4 linked regions of the Diceros bicornis minor genome follow. The protein of the gene in region 2 purifies or fractionates together with the protein of the main gene of each other region. This does not show direct contact. Links are inferred from orthologs where the notes say so. Each region holds a gene or a part of one and is shown on either strand. Other genes may lie near its edges. The genes, in order: RASSF1, MAP1S, STK3 and STK4.

Evidence for each region.
Region 1: the proteins of MAP1S (region 2) and RASSF1 purify together in Homo sapiens (affinity purification with mass spectrometry; 4 studies listed by BioGRID and IntAct, counting the BioPlex papers as one, with this or other methods). This does not show direct contact. The link is inferred for Diceros bicornis minor from reciprocal best matches to the Homo sapiens genes MAP1S and RASSF1.
Region 3: the proteins of MAP1S (region 2) and STK3 purify together in Homo sapiens (affinity purification with mass spectrometry; 3 studies listed by BioGRID and IntAct, with this or other methods). This does not show direct contact. The link is inferred for Diceros bicornis minor from reciprocal best matches to the Homo sapiens genes MAP1S and STK3.
Region 4: the proteins of MAP1S (region 2) and STK4 purify together in Homo sapiens (affinity purification with mass spectrometry; 3 studies listed by BioGRID and IntAct, with this or other methods). This does not show direct contact. The link is inferred for Diceros bicornis minor from reciprocal best matches to the Homo sapiens genes MAP1S and STK4.

Annotation. Positions count from the first base shown.
Region 1 is NC_080741.1:51,362,794-51,369,765, forward strand, and holds the start of RASSF1 (ras association domain-containing protein 1), read right to left. Parts: upstream 3,011-6,972; 5' UTR 2,870-3,010; coding exon 2,620-2,869; intron 471-2,619; coding exon 364-470; intron 356-363; exon of another isoform or gene 1-355. Other genes in the region: ZMYND10 (zinc finger MYND domain-containing protein 10), read right to left, coding at 3,465-3,540, 3,629-3,754, 3,873-3,994, 4,082-4,348, 4,449-4,621, 4,950-5,050, 5,142-5,230, 5,332-5,469 and 3 more. UniProt on the Homo sapiens protein: Potential tumor suppressor. Required for death receptor-dependent apoptosis. Mediates activation of STK3/MST2 and STK4/MST1 during Fas-induced apoptosis by preventing their dephosphorylation.
Region 2 is NC_080759.1:5,556,438-5,564,017, reverse strand, and holds the start of MAP1S (microtubule-associated protein 1S), read right to left. Parts: upstream 3,008-7,580; 5' UTR 2,991-3,007; coding exon 2,873-2,990; intron 1,870-2,872; coding exon 1,768-1,869; intron 342-1,767; coding exon 259-341; intron 1-258. UniProt on the Homo sapiens protein: Microtubule-associated protein that mediates aggregation of mitochondria resulting in cell death and genomic destruction (MAGD). Plays a role in anchoring the microtubule organizing center to the centrosomes. Binds to DNA. Plays a role in apoptosis.
Region 3 is NC_080760.1:17,574,524-17,581,368, forward strand, and holds the start of STK3 (serine/threonine-protein kinase 3), read right to left. Parts: upstream 3,005-6,845; 5' UTR 2,908-3,004; coding exon 2,882-2,907; intron 1-2,881. UniProt on the Homo sapiens protein: Stress-activated, pro-apoptotic kinase which, following caspase-cleavage, enters the nucleus and induces chromatin condensation followed by internucleosomal DNA fragmentation.
Region 4 is NC_080758.1:16,216,483-16,223,891, forward strand, and holds the start of STK4 (serine/threonine-protein kinase 4), read right to left. Parts: upstream 3,018-7,409; 5' UTR 2,965-3,017; coding exon 2,930-2,964; intron 1-2,929. UniProt on the Homo sapiens protein: Stress-activated, pro-apoptotic kinase which, following caspase-cleavage, enters the nucleus and induces chromatin condensation followed by internucleosomal DNA fragmentation.

The sequences.
Region 1 (6,972 bases), on a different chromosome or scaffold from region 2:
GGAATGATCTCATCGCCCAGGCCGTTCAGCTCAGCTCCGCCTCGCTGCAGCTAACCCACCTCCCGTAGGGGACAAGTCAGAGCTTATGCGCATGTGCACCAGCGTGGCCACAAGACCGGAAGCGGAGAGGTGCGGAAATTGCGTGGGCGCGGCGCCTGGGAGATTCCGGGCAGTTCGAGCGGAGTCAGCACCCCAGGCACCCCTTCGAACCCGCGCGCAGAGTTAGCCACTCTCTGCCGCAGGGAAATCCGCTATTAGAACGCTCATTGCGTGTAATGCCGGGCGGTCCTAGAAACACCTGCAGTGTGGCCTGCTCGTCTACGCGTCCCTGCCTCGCCCATACGCCCCCGGCCCCGCGCTCACCACGTTTGTGTCCCGCTCCAGCGCCGGTTCCCAGCCCAGGTCCCGGGGCCCGCAGCAGTCTAGGCGGACGAGCGCGCGGCAGCGGTAGTGGCAGGTGAACTTGCAATCTGCAGAGAGGCCTGGCCGTGAGGTGGAGGAGTCCCAGCTCCAGCTCGGAGAAGTGTCCCGGGGACGGAAGAGAAGCCCCAGGGGGAAGGCCGTTGCCCGCCAAGCTCTGCATGACCGGCCTTATCTCAGGCCCCGTTACCGCCCACTGCTACACAGATTCTAGTGTTGGTTCCCTGGCGTCTGGAACCTGGCGGGAAGGCTTCAGGCGGTTAGGGATCCAGGCCTGCTCAACACTAGCGCCTAGGGCAGAACTTCCCCCTTCCGCATTGTCAGCCCCCCCCTCTCCGCCCATGTACTTGAAGGGAAAAAACCAAACATCTTTAACCCATGTCCCCCTCTAGTTGTCATCTGTCTTACTCCCCTCACGCCAAAAGTTATCAACACTGGTCTGCATACACTCTAATTCCTTGCCTTCACTCTCTCCTCTACCCGTTCCAGTCAGGCTTGCCCTTCCCTCCAGGCAACTGCCCTGCTCCGGATCCTCAGCAACCTACTGCACTGCCGAATCACGTCCCTTTTGCATCTTCACGTCCTGGGCATCGTTTGATGCTTGCTCCCCTTGGTTCCCAGTTTTTCCTCCCACCTCCCTGCAGCTCCTGCTCAGCTCCTTTGGTTCTGTCTCAACTTCCAGATCTAATGGTGGAGTGTCCGAGGCTCAGTCCTGATCACTGCCCTGTGCTGTGTACACTCACCTACCCCGGATCCAAGGCTTCCATCACTGACCTCCCCCCTCAGGTCAAATCTGTGTGTCAGTATCTTCACTTGGATGTCTAATAGACATTTCAACCCAACATGGTCACAATTTAACTCATTTTTCTTCCACCTCACCCTACCCTTACCAGAGTTTATCTCAGCAAAAATTGCTATTATTCCAGTTGTTTAAGGCAAAAAACCCCTTGGGCTGGCCCGGTGGCGCAAGTGGTTAAGTGCGTGCGCTCCGCTGTAGCGGCCTGGTGTTCGCCAGTTCGGATCCCGGCACACACTGACGCACTGCTTGGCAAGCCATGCTGTGGCGGCGTCCCATATAAAGTGGAGGAAGATGGGCATGGATGTTAGCCCAGGGCCAGTCTTCCTCAGCAAAAACAGAGGAGGATTGGCAGATGTTAGCTTAGCACAGGGCTGATCTCCTCACACACACACACACAAAAGGCAAAAAACCCCAGCTCATCCTTGAGTCCTCCCTTGTCTTTGCCTGACACACACCCAAATTGTCCTGTTTTTCATCTCCATGGCCACTTTATTTCTCTTTGGGAACACTGCAATGTCCCAGTCCTTGTTCATGCTTTGTATTCTGTCACAACTCCTGTGCTCCTCCCAGAATTCAGGACAGACTCCCTGCTGGACGAGAGAGTCTCCATACCCACACAGGCCTGGGATACCTTCCCTAAAGCTCCTACATGGGCCAGAACATGATTCTCAACCCAGGCTGCACATTAGAATGATCTGTGTTTAAAAATCGCTGATACACTCATATACTCAGTGATTTGATTCAACAGGTCTAAGGTAGGGTCCAGGCACAGGGGTTTGGAGGGCTGTAAAAGCATCCCAAGTGATTCTAGCTGGTGTGTAGCCAGTGGGAGAGCAACCTCTGCTTGCTGGTGATTCCTGGGAGGGCAGAAGGACTGCTGGTGTGTGGCTGTGTTTCATGTTTTAGCACCTGGTTGACTGGGCCTGCAGTAAGTATTTGCTAAATGAAGACAACAAAATTCCTGCTTGTGAGGGCCCACCCAAGATTCTTTTTCCAGGACCCCTCCCATAGGTGGGTAAATTCCCTTCACCCCAAGGATTCTGGAGGGGACACAGGTAAGTGAATCTTCAGGAAGGAGCAGGCCTGGGAATATGGACTCAGAGACTGGTAGGCCTTTCTCAAGAAGGGCAAAGGCACTTTAAAGGTAAGAACCTTGAAATCTGCACCTTGTTATTCACAGGCAACCACCTCTGTCCAGCTGTGCCCCAGACGCAGATGGAGCACGGCAAGGATATAAAACCATCTGCCCAAAGACTTCCGCGATGGGGTAAAGATAACGGACCTGGTTCGCGGGGCCCGTCCCTGCTTCTGCCCCCTCCGTCGCAACTTGACCCGCAGCGACAGTGCTGCCCCTTGGCCGCTCGTTTCGCTTTCACCAGCGCGCGGGGGCCGCTACTCACGTGCGCACTGCAGGCCCTTGCGCACGACGCCCCAGATGAAGTCGCCGCAGAGGTCGCACCACGTGTGCGTGGCGGGCTCCGCGGTCTGGAAGCGGTGGCCGCGGCTCGGGACCAGCTGCCTTGCTTGGTTGCGCGTTGTGCCCGGTGCGATGCGCAGCGCGTTGGCGCGCTCCAGCCGGGTGCGGCCCGGGCCGGCGCGCTTCTCGGGTGCCAGTTCCCGCAGCTCAATGAGCTCAGGTTCAGCGGACATGGCCCAGTCGGGCCCGGACTCCGGCCGGCTCTGGGCGCGAGCGAGCGCGGAGCGGGCGAGGCCGTGGGACGGTCTCGAGGCGGCGCCGCGTCAGCGATCCAGGCACAGCGGCGGGAGAGCGCCGAGGAGAGCGGCGCAATGGAAACCTGGGCGCCGGGACTGTGTCCGCCCGCAGGCGGAGTGGGGTGGGAGGGCGGGGTGGGGGCCTTTCCCAGAGTCCCCGCCCTCCCTTTCCTCCCCTCCCCTAACGACGACGACGACCGCAAAGGACCACTCGGAGACAGGCATGTTTCTGGAGGCCAGCTTTACAGTGCTAGAGGAAGAGGGTCCCCACATCCGGCCCTCGCCCTCGCCCTCCACCCAGGCCTCCTGCCCTAGGTTGCTGAGGCAGCGCCCTCAGCCTACCCGCCGGGTGGGGCAGGAAGCCGGCAGCGCTTTGCTGGGGGAGATGGGGCAGCAGCTCTACCCTGTGGGCTGTGTTCACCACCTGGGAGGCTGGGGCTCTGGCAGAGGCCGGGCTGAGATCCCTAGGTTCAGGGGCACACTCAAGGTGAGTTGTATCGCATGGGTGGTTGTCCCTCAGCAGCTGCAGCCTTCACTTGGCTCTGTCACCCTGGGCTGTCCGGACACAAGCCTTTCTATGCTTCTCCCAGTGCTTGACTTGGCACTCCCTGCAGGCAGGTGGCCTGGTGAGGATGCAGTGCTTGTGGGGGGTATGGGAGTGGGGCTTAGGGGTCCAAGGTCCTAGGATGCCCTCACCTGCAGCAATACCACTCATTCTGGCATCGTGAACAGCGTTTGGAGGCCTCTGTGCTGCAGTAGGCACAGCGGGGCCGCTCTGGAGCTACTGCCTCTAGCACGTCCAGCCTGTAGGTCTCAGCCCACCTGAGAAAAAGGGTCGGGAGAGCCTGGCTAGGCCTGGCCAGTGGGAGCACAGGAGCACCCCTGCCCATGTCCAGGCCTTCTGCATCTCTTCCACCTCTTCTACCAGCTCAGGCCTCACCTTCGTGCCTGCAGCCGCAGGTCCTGCTCTGAGGGGCTGAATACATGCCGCAGCTGGTGCTTAGCAATAGCCTGCCACTTGCCTCTGTTCTCTTGCTCTAGGCGCTCCCAGATTTCTGGGATCTGAGGGAGAAAATTGGAGAGTGTCAGGGAGAAGCTGGCAAAGTGGGCAACTAACTTCTTCTGAGCAACTAAATTCCTAGTGCTTACCTGTTCCAACACCAGGTCCTTCTTAGGGGGCTGGGGTTCAGCCAGGGCCAGGTGGGCCAGGAAACCCTGCAGGTCTGCTAGATTGGGCAGCTGGTCAAGCAGCGTGTCTGTGAGGAAGGCCCGAAGCTGCAAGGGTGTCCAGGGGAGGCCAGTGTGAAGTGATGCTGACCAGAGGGTCAAGGAACAGAGAGGGCTAGGGCTGGGCTGGGCTGAGGGTGCCTGTGGGCTCATGTCCCAGTAGCTGTTGTGGCACCTGAGGCTCAAGGTCTGGAAAGAGGACTGGGGCTGAGGCGAGTGGGCAAAGATAAGCAGCAGGGGTGGGGTGGGGTGTGGCAGTGCTGGGACTGGTGTTGGAGGAGTTCCCCACCTTGAGTAGCTGTCCCTTGGCAAAGCTTGTGAGGCAGTAGCGGGCCCGGGCCTCGGGGCTTAGCAGCAGGTTGTACAGGGCAATCCACACCTGCCCGTCCAACTTGCTCAACTTTTGCTGCTCTGGGGGGGCCACTGTCTGCCAACAGCCGCCCTCAAATTGCTGCAGCTTGCCTGGGGAGAGGAACCAGCACACTGGGTGCAGGCATTGCGTACACTTCGAGTGAACCAGCTGCATGGTCTGGGGGACTGACCACTGCCTGGGCACAGGACTTGCCCAGGTTGGAGTGCTGCTCACTCTACAACAGGGTGACTCCTTGGTAGTGGACACACAGCCCTTGCCTGCTGCAAGCCCAGGTCTAGACCCACCTTGGGTGAGGCATCCTGGTATCCTCTGTGGGCTACGGGCAGAGCTTGTCTGCCTGTGTAAGCTGCCCACTCTCATCAATCCTGGAGGATGTCCTGGAAGCAGTGAGCTGGGGCAGGTGGAGGAGGACCTTACCTCCTTCCCTCCGGCTCCAGGGACTGTGCTCCAGCAGTTCCACCAGGAGGCAGGGCAGGTTGTGGGTGCTGAGCATGCGGCTCAAGGTGCTCAGGGAAAGGCTAAGGGTGGGGGTGGAGAGAGGTGAGCAAAGGCTATGGCCCAGGCTCCCAGCTCTCCACTGCAGGCCCCAGGCCCAGCAGGGCTGCCCACCTGTTCACACAGTCTGTGATGTAGCGTAGCACTGAGAGGGCCTTCAGTGCAATCTCAAATTCCATCAGCTCTGCCTGCTTCTGCAGCTCCTAGGGGGCCACATGGTGCTCAAGTTGGGCCACCCTCTGCCTGCTCAGGCCTCAGGGAGCCTAGGTCTAGCCCATGCCAACCCCAGGGAACCTCAGCCCACCTGCATAGGGGTGCTGTACTGGGACTCATTGTCTTCAGGGGGGCCACTATGGCCACTCCGGGCCACCAACAGAGTCAGTTTGCGGTGGCAGTAGTCCACTAGGTCCAAGACGGTGTCCTCTGCTGACTCACACACCTTCTGGGAGGCAGGAGCAGGGGAAACATTCTGTCTCTGATTCCCTCCCGTACAGACACAACCCCCCTTGCTCCCAGGCTCTGGCCTGGGGCAGTAGCCTATGGGCAGGGCTGGTGCCTCACCTTGTGGAAGAATACTGTCTCCAGGAGGTTGATGATGGAGGCCTCATGGTGTACCTGTCAGACAGATGACAGGGACCGGGGCTGCTGAGGGAGGGATAGGACTACCAGCTATCGTCTGTCATCCAGGGCTCTCTGAAGGGGTGGGTGGGGGTGTGAACCAGGAACCTAGCTCACCACTATGTATATGGGAAAGGTGTTCTGGGGCTTGAAGTCTTCTAGCCTGCACAGCACAGGGAACACCTTCTGCTTCCACATCTCCACTGCAATCAGCTCCTCCACCAGCGTTGGGATCTTTGAGGGGCAGGGAAAGGACAGGGATGAGGTAGGCCTACCTTGGCCTGGCAACCCTCCCATCTCTGGCTCAGCCCAGCCCAGCCCGGCTCTCAACAAACTCCCCTGGGCCCCTACACTCTCCCAGACCCCATGAGTACCTTCCTAACCTCTTTCCTGCACCTTAGACCTTCATTTCCAGCTGCCCCTGACATCTCTGTGGGGACATCCTCCATGCTTCCTGTGACTGACCCTTACCTTATTCCCCAGGCTGCCTTGTTTCCCCTGTACCTGTGCCCTTGTCCCCTCCTCCACCATCCAGGTGTCCCTCTCAGGCCAGCTCTTCTGCTTATGCCTTCCCTCTTGTCCCCATCCTCTGGCCTTCCAAGGCTCTTGTGTGCCTTGGCTTCACCCTTACTCAGGGCCCGTCACAGTGCCCTATTCCTACCCCACCCCTCAGTAGGGGGCTCCACCTTTTACTTGCAGAGGATCTCTTTTGTCAGGTGATATCTCAGGTCATCTACTGGTGTCACCTCCTGGCTCATGTTCTAGCCAAGCCAATCCCTGGTTTCTAACTCCCTCTCTCTCACGTTGGGAAAGCTGCCTCCTTCCATGCACGAGTCCCACCCCCACTTCAGTGTGGCCCCTTTTGGCCTTACAGTCTGTTCAAGAATGCCTTTAAGATTTTTTTTTTTTTGAGGAAGATCGGCCCTGCGCTAACATTTGTTGCCAATCTTCCTCTTTTTCTTTTTTTCTCCCCGAAGCCCCAGTACATAGTTGTGTGTCATAGTTGTAGAGTTGTAGCTCTTCTATGTGGGACACCGCCTCAGCATGGCTTGATGAGCAGTATGTCCGCACCCAGGATCCGAACGAGTGAACCCCGGGCCGCCAAAGCAGAATGCACGAACTTAACCCCTACGCCACCGGGCAGGCCCCCTCAAGAATGTCTTTAGAACTTGGGCCCTCCCCTTGCAGCCTAGGCTGTTCTAGGATCTATCTCTCTAGGACTATCTCCCTAATCAACCCAGGCCCCGCACCCAGGGGCTCGTGAGGGGTAGAGTGGTGGGGTAGGGGGTGGGAAGGCAGGAACCCTGCCTGTGACCCCAGCGTACCT
Region 2 (7,580 bases):
GGGCCCAGCCAGAGGAAAGGCACTCGATGCAAACATCGGTCAGTCCTGCCTTCCCCCTCCAGACCTTCCCTAGCCCATTCCTTCCTCCCAAACTCCAGCCTTTCCCGAGCCCATCCACTCTCATCATCACTCCTGAGGAGGGAATAAGTGGAGACTTCCTGAGGGAGAAGGTGCTGCTGCTGGGTGTTGAGAAGAGGATTTTAGGCAGCACAAAGTCAGGGACACAGGCGGTGACGACGGGGGCTGCCCCTTCCCTACCTCGTCACACAGCGACTTGTCTGACGGGTTCAGGAGGACCAGGGTCTCCAGGGCGTCTCCACGGTGGTGCAGGCTCCGCTGGCCTTGGGGGGGAATCCGGCCCTGTGAGCTTGGGGTCAGGCTATCTCGGGTCAAACCCTGCCTCCTTGAGTGACCCCAGGCAGCCACAAGCCCCTCCAAGGCTCCATTTCCCGGGGAACCCCGGCCAGGGGGTTATCTGGGGATCAACAGGCACATGGCAGAGCTACAGGCCAGGATGAGGCAAGAACAGGAAACCCGCCTTGGCAGGCCACACGCTGGACACAGCAGTGACACCAAGGCCTCCACTGCTTGCAGCTATCAGCCCCGTGGGGGAGGCCATCGCCACCCCCATTTTATAGGCGAGGAGCCTGGGCCCAAGCAGGGCCAATGAGGGCACACCAGGAAGAGAGCACAGCCCTGAGGCAGGCCGGAGCCCAGCGTGTCTGAGGATGAGGAGGTGGCGGTGGGGGTGGAACGGGGGCGGCATGAGGGAGCCGAGCGCGGAGAGGCCTCACGGACCCCGGAGAGGCGAGTGGGGTTGATTCTGGGACCCGAACCCTGGGCTGGCCCCAGAGCCCAGACGTGTTTCACATACGGAGCAGCAGGCCCTGGGGCTAGAGGCAAGGACCTCCCGGGCTGACAGCCTTCATCAGTTTATACACACATCTCGTCACAGGCAGACACTGCCCCTCACAGGTGGGGAAACCAAAACATGGAGGGGGCAGTGACCGCCAAGGTGACACGGAGCAAATGGGATTTCCAGCCCCCCATCCTGTGAGGGCTCAGGAAGCCACCCAGAACCACTGGGACAATGAGGTGACGGACACTTCCTTCCCCTCCTGCAGCAGCAGGGAGGTGACTCAACAGGCTGGCCAAGGCAGGAGGTGGGGGCTGCAGCCGACACGGGGCTCTCTTCACCCGGCTCACCCCAGAATCCCTAGGGAGCCATGGGCCACGTGCAGCTGGCCCAGGCACCCTCAACCCTCCTCGACCTTGCTCCTTTCTCAGCTTCCCATCTATTCGAGCACCTACTGTGCACTGGCCCTGTGCAGGGGTCACAGCCACGAACCAGACATGGTCCCTGCCACACGGGGCACACACCCCACCCCCAGGCCCCTCAGCAGCCTCTCACTTTCCAAATGTCCTGTTCCTGTGTCTGAGCCCTCCCTCCACCCGCTGCATCAGCCCCAGCTGCTTCTCATCCAAAAAGCCCCCCTCCTCAGTGGTCTCCCTGACCCCCAAACCTCATCTGCCTCATCTGTAAAATGGGGACAAAACCACAAGCTCCTGCGCTTGTGGGCTGTTGTGGACTGAGGAGGTGGGCGCTGGGTCAGGGCCCGCCCCTGCTCCGCATTCGGCAGAGCTCAGCTGTACGATTCCCGCTGTTGTTTACAGCCGTGGCCAACCCCCGGCCCGGCACAGGCAGAACACCTGCTCAGTGATGAGTGTAAGTGGAGCAGCAGGGGCACGCGGGGTGCCCAGCCTCACCTTTCACGATGCTGGAGAAGGTAGCAGAGTGCCGGGACACGAAGACCTTGAGCTGCTCCTCAAGGCTGCAGACGCCAGGGTCAACGTCCCAGGACCGGATGCCTGGAGGAGCGGGGCAGGAAATCAGCTGGGCTCCCCAGCTCCCAGAATGTTTCAATGACTGGCACCTGGCAGGTGGGGTCCACCCCAGCCCGAGACAGCCTGGAGACTCAGAACTGCCCAAGTGCTGGTGATCTCACTGTTGTCTGCATGCAGGAACCCGAAGCGTACGCCGGCGCTTTACAGAGAAGACTCAGGACGGCAGCAAGAAAGCCCCGGCTCCTGACGGTCAGCTTGTCCCCTCCACCCCACCACTGGCCTCACTGCTCCTCCAGCCCCCTCCGTTCCTTTGCACCAGCTGTTCCCACCGCCAGGAGGCCCTTCCCCCAGACCCCCTTCAGGTGCCGAGACCGGCCTCCACTCAGTCCGTTGCATCCTTCCGCGCATTCCTGCACCACGCGAGCTTAAAACTTGTGGCATCTCCTCACTCGCGCTGGGTCCACCGCCCGCCTGGGTCCCCACCCTAGCCCTATGCCCTGCGGGGCAACATCCCCCAAGCAGGTGAACCGAAGGTGTGCTGCCACCAGGTGATTTTACAGGCGCTGGACCGCAGGCCCCGCCCATCTGCGACGGGGGACGAAGGCTCTCCGCCCGCGGTGCGCGTGCCCCACGCCCGCCAGGCCCACCGCGCCTGGCCGCTGCAGGTGGACCTCGCAAGTGCACCTGTGACTCACCACCTCGGGCGCCAGATCCCCGGGCAGGCCGCGCCCGCCCACACCCGATTAGCCGCTCCTCCAGAGGAACGGAAAGTGGGCCCCGGGGCTGCAGGCCGGCCTCCCCAGCCCTGCTCCTCCCTCCCGCAGGTCCAGGCTGCCAGAACCCGAGGATTTCGAGGCGACCCCCGCCTTCCCGCGGCGGGCCCGGCGGGCGGGAAGCGGAGGCGTCGCCCGTGTTGCCCTAGCGCGCGGGTCCCAAAGCCGGGCCCGGGGCCCTCCCCGGCCGGCCGCCAGTGGAGCCGAGCAGCCCGCCCGAGCCCCCCCCCGGCCCCGGCCCCGGCCGGCCCGACCTCGCTCGAGCTCCTCCAGCACGTAGGCCAGCAGCCCCGGGCACCCGCACTCGCCGCCCACCACCAGCAGCAGCGAGCTCGGGGGCCCCGCCACCCCGCGACCCACAGCCGCCGCCATCTTCGCGCGCCGAGCACCGCCCGCGGGCCCCGCCCCTTAAAGGGCCGGACCGGAAGGGCTGAGGACCCCGCCCGGAAGCCCCTCCTCGCCCTCCTCTGCCCCCTGCCGGCTCCTGTGAGCTCTTGGGAACTGGGGACGCGGGCGCCGAAGCGATTGGGGGACTGTTGAGTCTCTGCTTTGGGCCCCTCTTCCAAATGACCATTCATTCCTTCAACAAGCTTGACCGCACGCCTACCACGAGCCAATCACAATCCCTGCCCACATCCATCACAGTGGGGCAATCAGAGCCAGGCCCAGGTGCTCCCAGCCCCCTAGGTCAGGGCTTGAACAGAGAAAAGAAAGGTATCTTGCAGCTAGGGGTTTGAGGGATGTGTAGGAGTTTGCCAGGTGTGGGTGGTGGGGCAAGAGTGTGTGAGGCAGAAGTTAGAGCACGTGCAAAATTTTACAGATAGGAAAGTACATGTGTGTTTGGGACACATCCTGGAGCACTCTGGGCCTAGAGCAAGGCAACACACTTATTGTGCACCTACTGTGTGCCAGGCATTTTACTCCATTAGCTCATTGAATACATGCACAAACCTATGAAGTAGGCACTGTTATTACAGTCATTTCAAAGGAATGGAGATGAAACTAAGGTTTGATGAGATGAAGTCACCAGGCCCACAAGTGGTAGAGCAGAGATTCAAACCCATGAAACTGAGAACAAAGTAGTTAAAAAATCTTCCCTGGGCTAGAAGAAAAGAAAAAAAATTTGAGATAAGCTTTGCTAACTACAGCTGTGCATACTCAGCATAATCAACTGTTGTTCAAAACCATCCAGGTCTTTCTGTGCCTCCTTAGTATCTGAGTGAGCTGTCTTTCCCAGACAAAGTCCAGAGTCAAGAAGAAAATGGAGGTTTAGCCTCGCAAGGCCCAACGCAGGCCAAGGATGAACAGTAGCCGGAGAAGTCCAGATGGTCAAGGAAAAAAGAGACTCAGTCTTCAAGAACAAACCCAGTCTGAAGATGCCAGCCAGCAAGGCATACACTCCCTCCCTCCCTAAAACCCCAGCACGTGCTCCTTCTCCCCCACCTACAACCCCAGATACAAACTCCTACCTTTTTCCCTTTGAGGAGGTGAACTTGAGTTTTAACTCCCATCTCCTCTCCTATCTCCTCATCTGGCTGCCTTTTGATAATAAAATTCTTTCCCTGCCACAAGCCTGATGTTTGGGTTAATTGGCCTTCCTGTACATCAGGTAACGAACCTGTGTTTGTAGTCAACAACACCCAGGTGGGTCTGATTTCAGATCCAGCCTGTGGCAGGGACTGACTGCCTGGCCCACATGGGTACCCTTCCCTCCGCAAACAATCTCATCCAGCCCTTTTACCCATGGCACCCACTACTTGAAAAATCATGTTGCATCAAACTTTTTGACAGTTGCCCATGCCCAAGAAGGACTGGGCTGTCTCCCATGAGAGTGAGCTCCCCGTCTCTGGAGGTATACAAAGGAAATCAAGACAGAAATGAAAAGGTCTGAAGAAAGATCAGCCTCCCCTACTCTTCATTATCTGGTTTGTTCAAGCCCAGCTTCCTCCCTGGTCACTGTGTAACAGTCGCTGGCCACGTGCTGTCTAAGGCTCCGGCTCTCCACTTCCGCTCTTTCTTTGGCACTGGCATCCTTCCTCTACCCTGGCCCCTCCCCCTTGGCTCCCTTCCCTGTGTCCTGGCTGCCTATGATCTCATCTATCCCTGCTCTGAGCAGTAATGACAGGGGCTCATTCTCCCCCACCAGGATGGGAGCTTGTTGAAGGCCAGACCCAGCTGAGGCCTCTCTGGGGCCCTGGCCTTTTGCAGGACAAGGCTGGGCATCTGGGAAGTGCATGATAAAGACTCCTAGAATGGGGGTGGAAAGCTCATTTGTCCACTATTCATTCATTCATTTATTCCTTCATGTGTATTTAATGATTGGGTTGGGACTTGAACCCAGGACCTTCCGAATGAAGTCCATGATCTTCCTCTGCCCAAAGCTGTGAGTTATGATTGTTGGTATTCATTCCAGTTGGTCTTATAGGGCCCTGGGGTGTCAAGATGTGTCTCCACCAGGAGGTCCGATTGGGGAGAAGGGTCCCTACTTAGGCTTCTGGGGGCCAATGTTCTGAGCGTTCTGGAGGCCTGAGGCTTTCCTGTCCCATAGTGTCCCCCAGGCTGGGGTCCCTGGTGTGGGGAGTGTGGAGAGCATCTCCCCAGAGATGAAGAAGATCTAGAGACCATTTCTGAAATCCCAGGCACCAGACTCAGGTCGCTGCCCTCCGGCCTTTGTCCACACCCAACTCCATGCCTGTTTCAAGGGTGACAGTCCCCAGAGGGGTCAGGCAATGGCATTTGTGGAGAAAATGGAACCCTCGGCCTTCAGGACTGCCAAATGCTCTCATCGTCTTTCCCTGGTAATTATTTTCTCTTTTCAATGTTTTTGTTGAGGTTTGACATGGGCATGGTCAAGTTCACAAACGTCAGGTGTGAAGGTTGATGAGGGTGATGACCCTCGGGTCAGGATCTAGGACATTCCTAGCCCCTCGCAGTTCTTGGACCCTCCAGTTGAGTCTCCCCTCCCGCAAGGCAACCACCACCCTGACCTCTGTCACTACAGGCGAGTTTTTGTCTGGTTTTGAACTTCATATAAATGGGATCACACAGGTGTCCACTCCCACATCTCGCTTCTCTTGCTTCTCGTGTTGTGGTCAAGGGCAGACGTTTGCTCCTCTTCATGGCTGTGTAGTATTCCTGGGTACCACTTCTTCTTTTTATATTGTGGTAAAATACGTATAATATGTAACATCATTTTAACCATTTCAAAGTGTATGTCAGTGACATTTAGTACATTCACAACGCCGTGCAGCCCCCTCACTAATATCTAGTTCCAGAACACTTCCATCCCCTTAAAAGGAGACCCCATGCCCATGAGCAGTCACTCCCCATCCTCCCTCCCTCCAGCCCCTGGCAGCCACTAATCTATTTTCTGTCCCTGTGGATTTGCCTGTTCCAGACATTCCATACACTATGTGGCCATTTCTGTCTGGCTTCCTCCACTCAGCATAACGTGTTCCAGGCTCGTCCACGTTGTCAGATATGGGCACTTCTTTCCTTTGTGTGCGTGGAGCACATCGTGTTCGGCCGGTCGTCCGTCAGCAGACGTCTGGGCTGTTTCCCGCTCGTCGCTGCTGTGAACATCAATGCACAAGTTTTGTTGGGTGCTAGCTTTCAGGTGTCTTGGGTCTCTACAGAGGAGTGGAGTTGCCGGGTGGTGTGGTAACTCTATGTTTAGCTTCTTGAGGAACTGCCAGACTCTGTTCCACAGCAGCTGCACCATCTTACATTGCCGCTGGCAGTGAGTGAGGGTTCCAATATCCCACATCCTTGCAAACTTTTTGGCTTTTTTTCTTATTATAACCACTGGGTACCAATTTTTCTTTATTTGTTCATTTCACCTGTTGGCATATACGTGGGTTGTTCCTGTTTTCGGCTCTCCTGGATAAAGCTGTTTGGAGCCTTTCTGTACATGTCTTTTGATCAATACACCCCTTTCTCCCCCAGTAAATGCCTAGGGGTGGAATGGCTGCGTCATGGGCTAAGGCTGTTTTCCCAGCGGCTTCAGAGAGAGGCCGTGCCACCCCATGTCCTCAGCAACACTTAAGTTTCAGCCGTTTTATTTATTTATATTTTTAATAATTTTATTTATTTATTTTTCCCCCCAAAGCCCCAGCAGATAGTTGTATGTCATAGTTGCACATCCTTCTAGTTGCTGTACGTGGGACGCCGCCTCAGCATGGCCGGAGAAGCGGTGTGTCGGTGCGCACCCGGGATCCGAACCCAGGCCGCTAGTAGCGGAGCGTGTGCACTTAACCGCTAAGCCATGGAGCTGGCCCTCAGCCATTTTAGTATTTGCCTTTTGGGGGCCGGCCCCATGGCCTAATGCTCTCCGCTTCAGCGGCCTGGGTTCAGATCCCTGGCACAGACCTACACCACTCATTGCAAGCCATGCTGTGGTGGTGACCCACATACAAAATAGAGGAAGACTGGCACAGACGTTAGCTCAGGACTAATCTTCCTCAGCAAAAGAAAGAAAATATTTGCCTTTTCTCCCTCCTTCTCCCGCCCAGCTCACCAACCCTGTTCATCAATATCCCTGAAGCACGTGTGTTAACAGCACTCTTGCTCTGGGTGCTGGGAAGGGAGCAAGGCTGCTGGTGCTGGGTTTGAATCACTCCCCGTCTGGGATGGGACGGAGCCTGAGGTCCCCGAGGGCCATATGCTTTATGTGGTAGTTCCTTTCATCCTTGCAACCTCTTGGGGGCACAGGCTCTGAGTAAAGACATTTAATAAATGGGAAAGTGAGGTTCGGAGAGGTCAAGGGACAGATTCAGTGTCCGGTACCCGTGGGCATCTGACTCCAGGCCCTGCCACAGGTGCTCCTTCCTTCAGTCCTTTGTCCATTCGTCCATCCAGTAAACACTTCCTGACAACTTTCTCGTGCTGGGCGCTGCTGAGATCCTGAGACGTCTCAGTCCTGGTCCCCAAGGAGACCCCAGTCTAGAGGAGGAAGAGCTGGCC
Region 3 (6,845 bases), on a different chromosome or scaffold from region 2:
ACTCCAAACAGAGCCTTTCTGCTGTTAAAATGTTTCCGCTGTTAAAAATTTTTGAAAACCACTGGACTAAAGTGCCCAGTTGGAAGGCACTGCTGTAAATCAAGTGTGAGGGTCATAAAACCCTGGAATGGGGTAGTAGTTCTGTATTGGAAATGAAATGGGAAAAAAAAATGAATCCACAGACTTTTTCATGGAAAATTTGACAGGATCTAATGATAAACTAGATGGGATAATGAAACAGTGGATTTGCAGGGGTCGGCCCAGTGTCACAGCAGTTAAGTGCACGCGCTCCGCTCTGGCGGCCTGGGGTTTGCAGGTTTGGATCCCGGGCACAGATCGACGCACTGCCTGTCAAGCCATGCTGTGGAGGCATCCCATATAAAGTAGAGGGAGATGGGCATGGATGTGAGCCCAGGGCCAATCTTCCTCAGCAAAAATAGGAGGACTGGCATCGGATGTTAGCTTAGCTCAGGGCTAACCTTCCTCACACACAAAAAAAGAGTGGATTTACACGAAAAAATCAAAAATATCAACTGAGCAGCAGCTGCTGGTCATACAGAGTTGAACATCAGCAACATAAATATCGCCACATAAAAATGTCTGAGCCCTCAGGAAGTGCTACTCAAGGCAGAAAAGCAAAGTGGCATTCTTACACGGATTAGGAAGAGAACAAGCAAAGGGAACCAGAAGACTGTAGAAACAGACGACAACCACATCATGGAACGCAAAGGAAGCAAGCGAGTGTTTGAAAAAGAGGCATCACTGTACACAATGAGAGGGTTCACAGCCTTTGCAGCCAATCAGACCCAGAGTTCTGGCACCTCCTCCACTTCACCAAGTTATTTGACCTCTCTGAGCTTCATTTAATAAGGAAAACATAAACTAACAACTAACATTACTGGACACATTATGGAGCATTGTGCTAAGTGCTTTTAACACATGACCTCATTTAACCCTCACAATACATTTTACAGATTAAGAATTAAAATTTAATTTAGTACTTAGCACAGAAAATTGCAGAGCCAGGATTCCTATTTCTCAAGACATTAAAATAAAGGAATGTATATATAAAGTTCCTGGCAAACAGGAGGACCTCAAAAATGGTAGCTATATTTTATTATTAGAAGGTAATGATCAATAGGGACAACACAAAAATTACTGTGAGTAATCCCAGTCATAGCCTTCCAGGTGGCAAACTCACTTAGCATCCTCAACTACAAAACAAGATTAATGCCCGTAATCCAACCTACTCAATACAGTATTGAATTAAATGATGTTATGAAGGATTAAATGATATTATGAAAATACTATGAAAAAATATTAAGAGATATTAAAAAATAAAGGATTAATGTCACATATCTTTTGCTCTTCAGAAATGCTTTCCTGGATCAACATAAATCTCTCTGAAGAGAGCTAAAAATAAGTCTGTTAACTGTGCAAGCACCATTTTGAAAAGTATAAGTCACCACAGAATGGTGATATACACCACCCACGCCTCCCCCTGACCCCTCCAGGTTCTCTAACGTCCCCGCAAGGGCAGGGGTTCTCTTACACCTATAATGAAACTCTGATAGCTCAGAGTAGAGCTAATCAATAGAGAGAGCTTCTACTTCAATTCAGAGCTGTTCAGATTGGCCTTATGGCACTATCTCAGAGATGCCCCCTTACAATCCTTCCAAAACAGAAAAGAAAAAAAAAGGTTTCCAATTTTCTTCTATAGTATTAAAACTGGGTGCCCAGTCAATACGAGAATTCAGACACTTTACGAAATGTCAGAAAAAAATCTATCAAGGGGTCTGTCTGATAGCAGGTATCTTTTAGAAAATTCTCCACGACTCCCCTTTTTGCACCTGAACAGATGGTTTCCAGGCCTCGAGGCTCACATGTCTGGTGACACAATTCACAATAGCACACAAAGTTCCTACCTTTTAAATTATTTCGTGTTCTTGAATACACCACCTTTCATCTAAAGATCTCTAGGTATCAAAACAAGAACTCTTTAAACTTCACAACAGCATTATCTGGGAGAGAGATTAGTACCCTTATTTTATAAACTAAAAATGAAAGGCTGAGGTTAGATGTTTTACCCAACATCAGTTAGTTGATTCATTCTTCGGGGGGGGGGCGGGGGGGATGCACATTATGAACACATATCAATGGAGAGCCTAGATTTAGCTCACTTCAAATATTAGTTCAAATGTATCTACGGTGTACTCTGACATTTCCAATATATCGAAGATTAAATCCAAACTAAGAGTAAATACCAAAGCATCACTATTTTTACATGCTAAAAGAAAAAAAAAGCTATATGGGGGAGGGGTTCTAATTTAAGAATCCTACTGTCTTGCATCCATAAATACTTTTGAACTTGAGGGAGGGGAAGGCACACCTGTCAGCGCAACATATTCACAATAAGTTTACAGACTGTGTAGCTATTAATATTTAATTCCTTAAACTGTAAATAAACAATCCGCCTTCTCAAAAAAGGCAATATTATGAAAATCATTTGAGAAGAAAACCAACATAGTTGTAAGAAGCCCAATAATTTCCTAGGTTTACGTCTCCCAGGCTTCGTGAACTTGCCACAAGGGAAAACTGCCCGCCCAAGAGTCCGGCCGCGGGGAGCCCGGCGCTGCCCACCGACGCTCCACGCGCACCAGGCCCGGCCGGCCGCGGGGGAGGCGAGCTCGGCCTCCCCTCGGGCCCCCTCGCCCCGTGGACAGACGCGGCCGGCACTCGGACCCGCCTCCCGACTCTCGGCGCGCCCGCCTCGGGGCCCCGCAGCCGGGGAGGGGGTCGCGGTCCGGCCCGGCCTAGCCGCCCCTGCCCCGCGGCCGCCGGCGCCGCCTCCCTCCTTCTCCCCGCTCCCCGCGTTCTTTACCTTTTGGGCGCCGGCGGCTGCTCCATGGCGGCCAGGGGGCTGAAGGAGCGACCTGGTGGGCGGCAAAGGCCGGTGGGAGGAAAGGGGCCGAGGCACCGGCCGGCCGAGCCAGGGGAACCAGAGAGGGAAACTCCAGGAACTCGGACCAACTTTCCCGTAACTCTGCAGCGGATCCCCACCCCTCTCCGGAGCGCGGCTCCTCCCGGCGCGCCCCGCCCCTCCGCCGCCCGCCCGGGTCCAGGAAGGGTGGGCGGAGCCAGGCGCGGGGGGGGGGGGGGGCGGAGCCGGCGGCGGTCCAGAGAGGGTGGGCGGAAAAGGCCTCGGTGCAGGCGTGGTGGGCGGAGCCAGGCGCTGGGGAGGAGGCGGAGTCGGGGGCGGAGGGAGAGGCCGGCGGTAGTGCAGCGAGGGGAAATAAGGAGGGGAGACTGGAAGAGCCAGAGGACGAGGCCGAGTCAGGACCGAGAGCCGCTGTGTGCTGGTCAGGGACTTGTTCCTTTGCGCTATCCTAGAGCTACTGCCCCTCAGTTGCCTTCATTGCTTTTACCCCAATACTATTTGACTCATTTCTTTAGCTTTCTCAAGGATACATCCCAAACATCTTGTACAGCCGTTTGAAGTATTACTAACTGCCCACGCTTCCCTCTCTAGTTCTGTTTGTAATTACTGGTTATGTTCTCTCCTAGCCATTTGACATTTGTAGCTACAGTACCAGGGATACTTCTGGAAATTCTTGTTTGATGTTGATTGTGAACAAGCTCCTCAATACATTTCACAATAATTACATCTAATTACAAAGAAAATAATTACTGCAGTGAGATCTCCCAGTGCACCAAATTCAGTGCACTGTGGTCTTGCCGGCTGTTCAATTGGGTAACCCGGCAAACCTATCGCAAATTAAAGTGCATAGGAAAGCACTCAAAAAAAATGTGTTTTCTTCTCTCTTGCCACCCTCTCCCTCCAACCTGTTCCCAAGGCCCTTACCCCATTGCCGTTTGACCCCTTCATGTGTCTATATTGTGCATATGCCATTTTACCTTAAATTCCATATATAGATATCTTGCTTATGACCATATACAGCTGCTAGGTAATGAGTTTGCTTGTTTTTGTTAGAAATTTATCAAGATGTAGAGTCATATAGAGTTTTCTCAGAGATAAGAACAAAGAATATGGAGAGAATGTTGAATAAAGGAATTTTATGAACATTAACCCAAATTAAACTTGTCTATTAACAGTTATTCCTCTTTTTGCATTGTTTCACTATGTAATAAATTTACATGATTTATTTTCAAACCATTATATTCCCCCCTAAATTTAGTTACGTTAAATTCGTTAAGACCATTCATCGTTGAAACCTAGTCAAAGTCTGTAAACAAGAGAGATTATTACAAAATTTTATACTCATTTAGATTTATTAAAGATCTACAGTCTAACAGTTCAGAAGTAACAGGACAACAAAAAACTAAACCATTAAGATGTTAAAGCTAGGAAGAACATTTGAAATTGTTTCATCTGTCCCTCACTCTCATCCTCACTTCCACGCCGTAGTCCCGTATTCTTGTATTTCATCAGAAAAATCTCTTTCAGAGAGGGTAATTTCATCTTTTTAAAAAATTGCCATATTTTTAAATGGGCTCAAATAGACATACTTTAAAATGGATGCTGAATTATGTTACCAACCTCAGTCTCCACGAAGCATTTCCCAGTCAAATCACCAGCACCACCACCCCGCTACCTTTGACACTGAAGTTGTGAAAGAGATGCCTTTCTTATACGTGCCCATAACACACTGTGCTGGCTTTTGCATGATACTTATCACAGTTGATTGAAGTTCTGTTTATTTGACTGTCATTCCAACCCAGCTGTGAGTTTGTTGAGAAGTAGACCAGGTCATTATTCTCTCTATCTCTTGCATAGCAAGTGCCTTACACATAGTAAGCTGGATAGCTTCCTTTTGCACCCCCCAGATTCACTCTCCATCCTTTTCCATCTGCTCTCTGCCCTAGGGGCTGACCTGTATAGCTGACATCCTTGGAGTCCCAGCTCTCTGGCTTATAGTTGGGTCTGATGATAGGGAGACCAACAGGAGATCATCTGAGGGAGAATGGAGTATAAGGCTATTTATTCCCCTGGTTCCCTTCCTGTGAGGTTGTCTAGGGCCCAACTCTTCTTGCTTCCTCTCCTCCCTGTGGGCCTATGGGTAGTGACTGGTCTGCCAATCCCCAGATTCCTCCTCTATTCCCTATGTTCCCCTAGACCTCAACCCTCCTCAAATGACCCTAATTTGAGTGTACCTTCAAAAACTTTTCCTAATGGAACCCTGACATAGTTACCCATAAAGAAAGTTTGTGGAGGAGGAGGAATAATATCAGAAAATAAACCTTTGAGGTCTTCACTCAGTCTGAAAAGGGAGACGGCTAACAATGGTTGTATGACTCCAATAAGGTCAAATACTTGGCTACATTGTCTCATCAAACCCTTAAATCTACCTTGTTAGGTAGTTATTTCCATTTTATAGGTAAAAAGAAACTGAGGTTCAAAGAGATGAAGAGAGTAACCCTAGGCCAAATAGAAAATCTGCATTCTAACCCAGGCCTTTATACTTCCAAAGCCAAGCCTTGTCCCACTGTAAGTCAGTCAATAAATATTTACTGAGCCCTTATGCATACTAGGCACTGTTCTAGGTGCTGAGGATTCATCAGTGAATAGACAAATAGACAAAAATTCCTGTTCTCATAAGATTTACATTCTGGTCGAGGAAACATAAGGTAAATAAGCACCTAATCAATAATGTTAGTGCTGAAAACTGGTAAGGAAGAAAAATAAATTGGGGAAGGGGAATATGAAGTGGAAGGGAAGGGATGAAACTTAGATAGGGTGGCCAGGGCAGGCCTCAGTGAGAGGGTGACTGAGGAAGTGGGGGAGAGCCATGCCCATGGCTACGGGAGGAGACTGAGACCAAGGAACAAGAAGTGCTGAGGCCGGAGGCAATCGTGCCTGGTGTGTCATGTGTTACTGAATGAAAGGAATTGTTTTTTTACTGAATTACTCAGAAAAGAAAAATTAGCCTGAAGTCTCTGTTTCAATTTGTCTGTGGAAAGCTAGCCTGAAGATTCCAAGAAGGAAAGCATAGAAATCATCATTCAACCTGCAAACAACAGGCAGCAGCATTCATGAACAATTGAGAGCTATAGGAAAATCTGAGATACAGGTAAGAGTCACTCAGCTTCACGTAACTGTGAAAGCAGGATAATCTGTTTCTGCTTCCAACCGTTCCAACTGGAATGGAGGTTAAGTATGCACTTTAATTATACTAGCAAACAGCTCACCAGAATTCTCAACTGCGTGCTCTGAGAGAAATGTGAGAGAAATCTGCAATTTGGGACCCAGTTCCTTAGAATAACAAAACTGCATTTGTTGTCACTGAATAAATACCACCATGTTTTATGAGTAGAAAAATATTAAGGTAAGAAAAATTTTTTTCCTTATTATACTAGTTGCTGCTACTTATTGAAACTGCAAGTTTGTATTACTCTTTTTTCTCATATTTATTTGAAAAATAATACTAATTAACAACTGCTTATCTTTTCTACTATTACGAGGAAGAGTTTGGGGAAAAGAGAATATATTACATTATGTAACTTTTTATTTGCAGGGAAATTCAGAATTATTTCCTTTCAAGAGGCAACTTTACAAAATGTTTTCCCTTGATCTGTTTCTCTTTTCTGGCTTAATTTTATAGTTAGCTTGGAACTAGCATGTTGCATTTGAATTCAAACACTATCCTGTTTTCTCAGAGCAATCCTAAACTTCTGTTTCGCTTATTTGTTTCTCTGACCAAACTGTAAGCCTCTTGGGAATAAGGACAGTATCTTATTCATATTTATCATCTCAAAAGTCTAGCATATCAGTTAACTACAAGTAATACCTCAAAATGATTTTTAAAACAAGAAGCCTAGAGGTAGAT
Region 4 (7,409 bases), on a different chromosome or scaffold from region 2:
TAGGTAGTTCGTTTCACTGCTTGCTCATAAACACACAGGCCTGGCCAACACAGCCTGCATGGACCAAATACCGGTGGATGCTCCTCTTCTAAGTCAGATGGCCACGTGGATGGCCAGCATCCCAGAAATGTACTCTACACCTTCCACTACACTATTATTATCTAATGGCAACTCATTTTTTAAAATCATAAACTCCTACATAAGCCATACGTAGGAGTCACACACAAATGTTAAACTCATGAACACAAAGAGCATTTCCTGCATTGGGATTGCTATTCCTTGTTGGAAACACAGGCCATCTGAATCTCTGAAAAGACATTTGTATCTTTCCAAACACAAACAAGACTTTTTATGAAGTAGTTACTCATAGGTTTGGCTAATTATCAAATCTCTTTCTCCCATTTTAGAACTCATGTCAGGCTCATTTTATTTATGTATACCTATCCCTCCCTCCAAATAGAATTTGATTCTATTTACAACAAATACGTAAGACAAACTGATGAAGTTTTTGTAATGATGATAAAATCAATGTGCCCCTCCCAATTCATATGCTGAAGTCCTAGCCCCCAGTACCTCAGAATGTGATTATATTTGGAGATAGGGGCTTTAAAGAAGTAATTAAGGTAAAATGAGGTCATATGGGTGAGGCCTAATCCAAAACGACTGGTGTCCTTATAAGAGGAGATGAGGACACAGACCGGTACAGGGGGAAGACCATGTGAAGACACAGGAAGGAGACAGCCACCTACAAGCCAAGGAGAGAGGCCTCAAAAGAAACAACCATGCCGACATCTTGATCTCGGACTTGTAGCCTCCAGAACGGTGAGAAAATAAATTTCTGTTGTTTAAGTCACCCAGTCTGTGACACTGACATGGCAGTCCTAACAAACTAATACAAATGATAATAAAGTTAATCTGCTGCAAATTAGGCAAATGAGTTATGATGCAAATTAGTTATGATGAACAGGAAAGCACCAGTCATTCAAGAACTGTCTTGCAATGCTCTTCTCTTGCACATTTAATAAATTTTTTTAAAACCCAAAAGGTACAGGAATGAATGTGTCAAAAAGCAAAAAGGTTTACTCTTTTGCCCAAGATTATACAACACGAGGCAAAGACAGCAACAAAACTCAGATCCCTAATGCTCTTTCCAATTAAACCAAGCCCGAGGAGAAAGAACAAACATATTTCAGAAAGAAATATAATCAGTGTACATTTATAAGTGGATCGCCACGGTGTGATAGCAAATATCTGCTAATGCACGCAAGGCCCTGTGAAACACGGGTACTTCCAGAGAGGCATCAGAGTGAGACAGTTAAGAGCGTGGCTTCGGACTAGACTGCTTGGATTAAAATCCCAGCTCCACCACTTACTAACTGTGGGACCTCCGGCAAATCACTAACCTCTTTGTGCCTCAGTTTTATCACCTGTAGAATAGAGATATAGGGGTAACCACTTCACAGGATTGTTGTGAGGATCAAATGAGTCAATAGTAAGTTGAACCACACAAAATTACCATTTTTACAGATCAAAAATGGTCAAATATCGGCATTTTCACATGGTTCAACAGAAAGCACTGAGAACAGTGTCCGGCACCCAGTAAGTGCTAGATGAGGGTAATAATCATTATTACTATTTCAGTCTCAGCACACTACACTAGCGTGAATTATGAGTTCATACCAACCAGCTATCTGCCTTCTGCAGTGCTTGTGCGCTTCAAACAAACCCCAAGTGTGCAGCCCAGGCTGCCAGTCTCTTCCCTTCACCTCTCCATTGCCCCGCACTCCCACCCACTGAACACTTCCTACTTTAGCGCTCCTTCTGCTGCAGGAAGTCAGAGGCCTCTGTGAAATAGAAGCTAACTACACTGCACCTCAGAGAAGCATGACTGCCTCCATCTCTACTCTCTTTTTCTCCAGATGTGGCAGAGTGACATAAGACCCTGGGGGTCCGTAGAGCAAATCAATGATGCAACTGCGACCAAATCAGGAGTACAGACCTTCTAGGATCAGCCACCTCCCTGATCTGGACTTAAAACAATTCCAGGTATCAGTAGGATCTGGAGCTGATACTCACAAAACAATAGAGGCCTGAAAAGGGCACAGTCTGGCCTGGTCCAGTGACCCAGTCTAGAGCAAAGAAGGAAACACAGGGGTCTGTGTCTCAACTCTTCGGGGCCTCAATTTCCCCAACTTGAAAAAAATCCTTATTTCCTCATCTACCCCGCAATGGTGGGTTTAAAGGGCTGAGGAGGATGTGAGGAAAATTAAGAAGGCACTGGACTTAAGGAATGACAGATGCCATCATCATCCTAGAGTGGGGACACTACCAAGGACATCTTCCTAAATGCTGTCCTCCAGGAAGCCCTCCCTCCCTTGCTAGACCGGCAACCTTTCTTGGCACACCTTCAGCTTTTGGAGCAAAGCTTTTCCCCCAGCAGATCCTCCCCAACAGCACCCCTCAGGTGGGACCCCGTCCTTACGAAGTCCACCCAGCCTTCCTCTCAGCTTGTCCCCGACCCATCCCTTAGACAGACCCCTCATAGGTTCCCATCCTGCTTCAGCATTCCCCCCGCCTCAGTGAGTCCCTTCTAGGACAGCCTTCCCCCAGCGGCCCCAGCCCTCAGCAGGTGCTCTCCCTAACTTGTCGCCACGTTCCTCAGCAGCTGCTCCCTTCAGCAGTCCCCCAGGACGTCCCCCTACAGCAAGTGCTCTCCCTAACCAGCCCCACGTTTATCCCCCTCGGCGCGTGCCTCTCTCTCCCGGACCCCCAGCCGCCAGATGTCCCCCACTCAGCAGGTGCCCCATCACCGGGTCGCCTCGCCCCGCAGGTCCCTCCCCTCGGGGGCTCGACAACGGGTGTCCCCCCTCCGTCAGTTCCCGCCTTTCCTTCCCCCCGACCCCCCTCCCGTTAGCCAGTGGCCCCTCACCGGCGCGGCGGGTTCCTCAGCTGCACCGTCTCCATGGCGCTGCCAGCAGCCGCCCAAGCCCGCTCACTGCCCCATCCTCCCCGGGGACCTACCCGAGCACGCCCCGCAGACCCTCCCACACTTCCGCTTTCCGCCCCTACCGGAAGCCGCGCGGCGCGGGGCGGGGCCACAAGGACCGGGCCTGGGTCACGTGGTGCAGCGGGGCGCGGACCGGAAGCCCGGAGCGGAGGAGACTGTTGCCTGGAGTCCTCAGCCAGGCTTGACGCTCTGCTTGACATGCTGTTCGCCCAAGCCGCTCGGTCCCCACACCGGGAACGCATGTCTGCCTCAGTCCGGCCCCTTATTTCTTAGACTGAGATACTGAGGCTTCTTGCGAAGCGCCAGCTTGATAAAAACTATTGATTCTTAACAAGCCAAGTTCTACGCGATTCCTGGGAATCGCTGTCACCCCCAGGGCCTCCTGGAAGTATTTGTGGTTTTCTACCATTCTTACCTGGTAGAATTCTTGTTCCAGATGGAGACTGGACCGCGCATACCTTCTTGGCTGTCACAGGGCATCAGCCTGCAAATTGCCCCACCCTCTTCCTTAACAGCCTCTCCTTTGAGTCAGTTTGGAGACGTGTATACCTGGGAGAAACCAGGTGTACATGTTATTTATTAAGCTCTTGCCATGTATTTGCTTTCATATATTGTTTCATTTAATCCTCACATCAAGCAGGTATGGTTATCCCCAATTTTATGTGTTGATTATCTGACAAACTGTGCTTACCACTGTGGGGGATCAGAATTTGCCACCCCAAAAATGTGTCTCTTTGGCTTGATTATTTTTAAGAACAAAAGACTTGGAAGGAAACTTCACCTTCCTTCTAACTGCCTAAAAGAATTTAAGATAGAAAGCCTGTTCCAGGAAGGAGCTAATACCATAAGATAACCATAGAATAATATAAACTAGGTTTGATAAACAGGGAGGAACCTAACAAGGGCCTTTTAATCAAAGTCCTCATCTCTCATTGTCTTTGCAAGGCATGGTCAACATTTGTTAACCAAACATTTGGTTTTCCATCTCCATGTAAATTGCCTTCCTCCCCTTTGAAGTCCAAAACCAATAACCCCAACGTCCTCCTTTGTTCTTAGCTGAAGATGGTATTTAAGGTAGCAGCTTCTGCCATTTTGGAGAGTTACTCAGTTTTCCTGGGTTTCTCCCAGGTATACATGTTATTAAATTTGTTTCATTTTCTCCTGTTATTCTGTCTCATGTCAATTTAATTCTTAGATCAGCCAGAAGAACCTAGAGAGTACAGGAATAGTTCTTCCTCTGCTATACCACATTCTCAGTGCTTTACTACTATTAACTCATTTAATACTCCTAACAACCTTATAAGATAAGTACTATCAATACTCTCATTTTATAAGGCCAGGGAAGTGAAGATCACAGAGCTAAAAGAATAGGTTTAGGGATTTAAATCCAGGTCCGTCTGATTCTAGAGCCTGCACCTTAAACTGGACAGCCACTGATGTATACTCTCTCTCTGGGCGTCAGAGTCAGAGCTCCCTCTCCACTCAGAGCTCCAGTTCCAGCTATGGCTATGGTTAAATCCCCACTTGCCACCACCATCAATGAGTGCTAGGAAAATGGCAGATTCCACCCAACTTACCCACGGGGAAAGTTACAGGAGCAAATGTACCCAGAGCAACCACTCACTGTTTTTAATTGTCCTGCTTTTCCCAAAGGTATGCCATCTATGAAACTTAACACCTGAGCAGCCACCTTTCAGGGCCACCCAGGTATGGCACCCCGTGTGCTAAAAATGGGATAATAGAGCCATTCCCCAGACACGGAAGGAAAACATTTACTGAGAATCTACTGTGTGCCAGGCACAATCCTAGACTATCACTTAATTTTCAAAACAACTCTATGAAGTAAGAATTATTAGTCCCAGTTCCTCAGGTGAGGAAGCAGAGACTCACGTATACACGGCTAGTGAGAGCGAAGGTTTTAACCCAAGACTGTCCTGACTCCACAAAATCCATATTTTATTTGCCATTTTGCTCTATCAGCAATCTGTACAAGTGGCAGTGGGAGCCCTGAGGAAGTAAAGATCAAGAAGAATTTCTACAAAGTTCAGGAAGCCATATGGGTCCCTCCTGCAAGAAGTCAACCTCTGTCCTCTGAAATCCCCTCGCACTTTTCCTGTTCTTCTCCCAAAGCACACTCAACGTTTTACCTTATGTTCGGGCCCTGCTGCCCACTGGATTTCTTCCTCCTTGAGGGGCAGTTCTGTGTGGAAGCTTCCATTATGCCCACACACTCATCCCCATAGATGAGTAAGTACTCAATAAACATTTTTAAAAATAAATGTCAATTTGCCAATACACATTGTCAAACATCCCTCCTTTGTCCCTTCCCAGGATTTTTCCAGAAGATAGACTGACATTAGGATTGCCCTCTTTTTCCACAGAACGTCCGGTGCAGCACTGGCCCATAGAAATTCCTGCAATGGTGGAAATGTTCTACATATGTGCTGTCGAAACAGTAGCCACTAGCCACATGTGGCTGTTGAGCACTTTAAATGGGGCTAGTGTGACTGAAAAATTGAATTTTAAAATTTTATTTAATTAATTTAAATTTAAATAGCAAGCCTCAGCCAACCATAATATGCTAATAGCTTAAGAGAGAGAACCAATGAGCAGGGTTACTCGTGCTCCATTCATTCAACACTCTGTGAGCTCCATGGGCTGGCACCGTGTGATTCTCTGCGTATACAAGAATATTTGAGACATATATGAGTCCTACCTTTTTTGCAACTTATAGTGTAGTAGAAAAGATAGTTATTAGGCAGATAATTGATTAATGTAGTGATAAATCATGATAGAAAACTATAATGTGAGAACCTAACGAAGTCTAGTAAGATCGAGACAGCTCTGAGACAGCTGGGACAATCATTCATTCATTCAACACGTATATATTGTGTATCTGCTGTGGCCCAAGCACTGTACTAAGTGCCAGGCAATGAGCAAAAGAGATAAGTTTGTGCCCTCATGTGTGTCACATTCAAGTGGGAAAGATAGACAGTAAATAAACAAACTATATAAATATATAAAATGTCTGGTATTAAAAATTATATGAGAAGAAATTAATGTAAGAGTGTGGAAAGTGGGATGGGGAGTAATTTAGATCAGTGATTAGGGAAAGCCTTTCTGAGGAGGTGATATTTGAGCAGAGATGTGACTGAAGTGAAAGAATAAGTCACACTCATATTTATTTATTTATTTTTCTGAGGAAGATCAGCCCTGAGCTAACGTCTGCCAATCCTCCTCTTTTTTTTTTTTTTTTTGCTGAGGAAGACTGGCCCTGGGCTAACATCCATGCCCATCTTCCTCTACTTTATATGGGACGCCACCACAGCGTGACTTGACAAGCGGTGCGTCGATGGGCGCCCGGGATCCGAACCAGCGAACCCTGGGCCACTGCAGCGGAGCGAGCACACTTAACAGCTTGCGCCACCGGGCCGGCCCCCCACACTCATATTTAAAGAGAATGTTTAAGGCAGAAGGAAACAGCAAGGGCAAAGGCTTACATTAGAAGAGCAGCAAGAAGTTGGTGTGCTTGGAGCAGAGTGAATAAGGAAGAGAAAAGTAGGAGGTGAGGTAGGCAAGGTAGCCAGAGTCAGGTTGAATATGGGCCGTGTAAAGATACAAAAAATTACTAGAAATCGGTTAGGTGTATCTGTTAGCTATCACCATGTACCAAACCATCCCAAAGCCCAGTGGTTTATAACAGTAATTATTTTCTAGGTTTTGGTTATTACAAATAAAACAGTTATGATCATTTGTGTACAAGTCTTTGTGTGGATATACATATAGGCATACATACATACAAAAGGACGTTTCATTTCTTTTGGGTAAATACGCAGGCGAGAAATAGCTGGGTCATATGGAAGACATATGTTGATGTATTAAGAGACTGTTTTCCAAGGTGATTGTACCATTTGACATTTCCACCAACGGTGTATGAGAATTCTAGTTGTCCTCCTCACCTATGCTTGATATGATCAGTGTTTGTAATTTTAGCCATTCTGATAGGTGTGTAGTGGTATCTCATTGTGGTTTTAATTTGCATTTCCCTAATGACTAATGATGTTGAGCATCTTTTTAAGTGCTTGTCATCTGTTTATTTTCTTTTTTAAAGTATCTCTTCAAGTCTTTTGCCTTTCTTAAAATTGGGTTATTTTCTTATTATTGAGTTTTTAGAGTTTTTTTTAAATATTCTGGATGCAAGTCCTTTATCAGATACGTGATTTACAAACATTTTCTGGGGCTTGTCTTTTCATTCTTTTAACAGCATCATTCAAAGAGCAGAAGTTCTTAATGTTTGTTAAGTCCAATTGATTCATTTTTTTCCTTTTAAGGATCATACTTTTGATGTCACACCTAAGAAATCTTAGGGAGGATACTGACCCTGCAGGCTCACTTCCCAGGT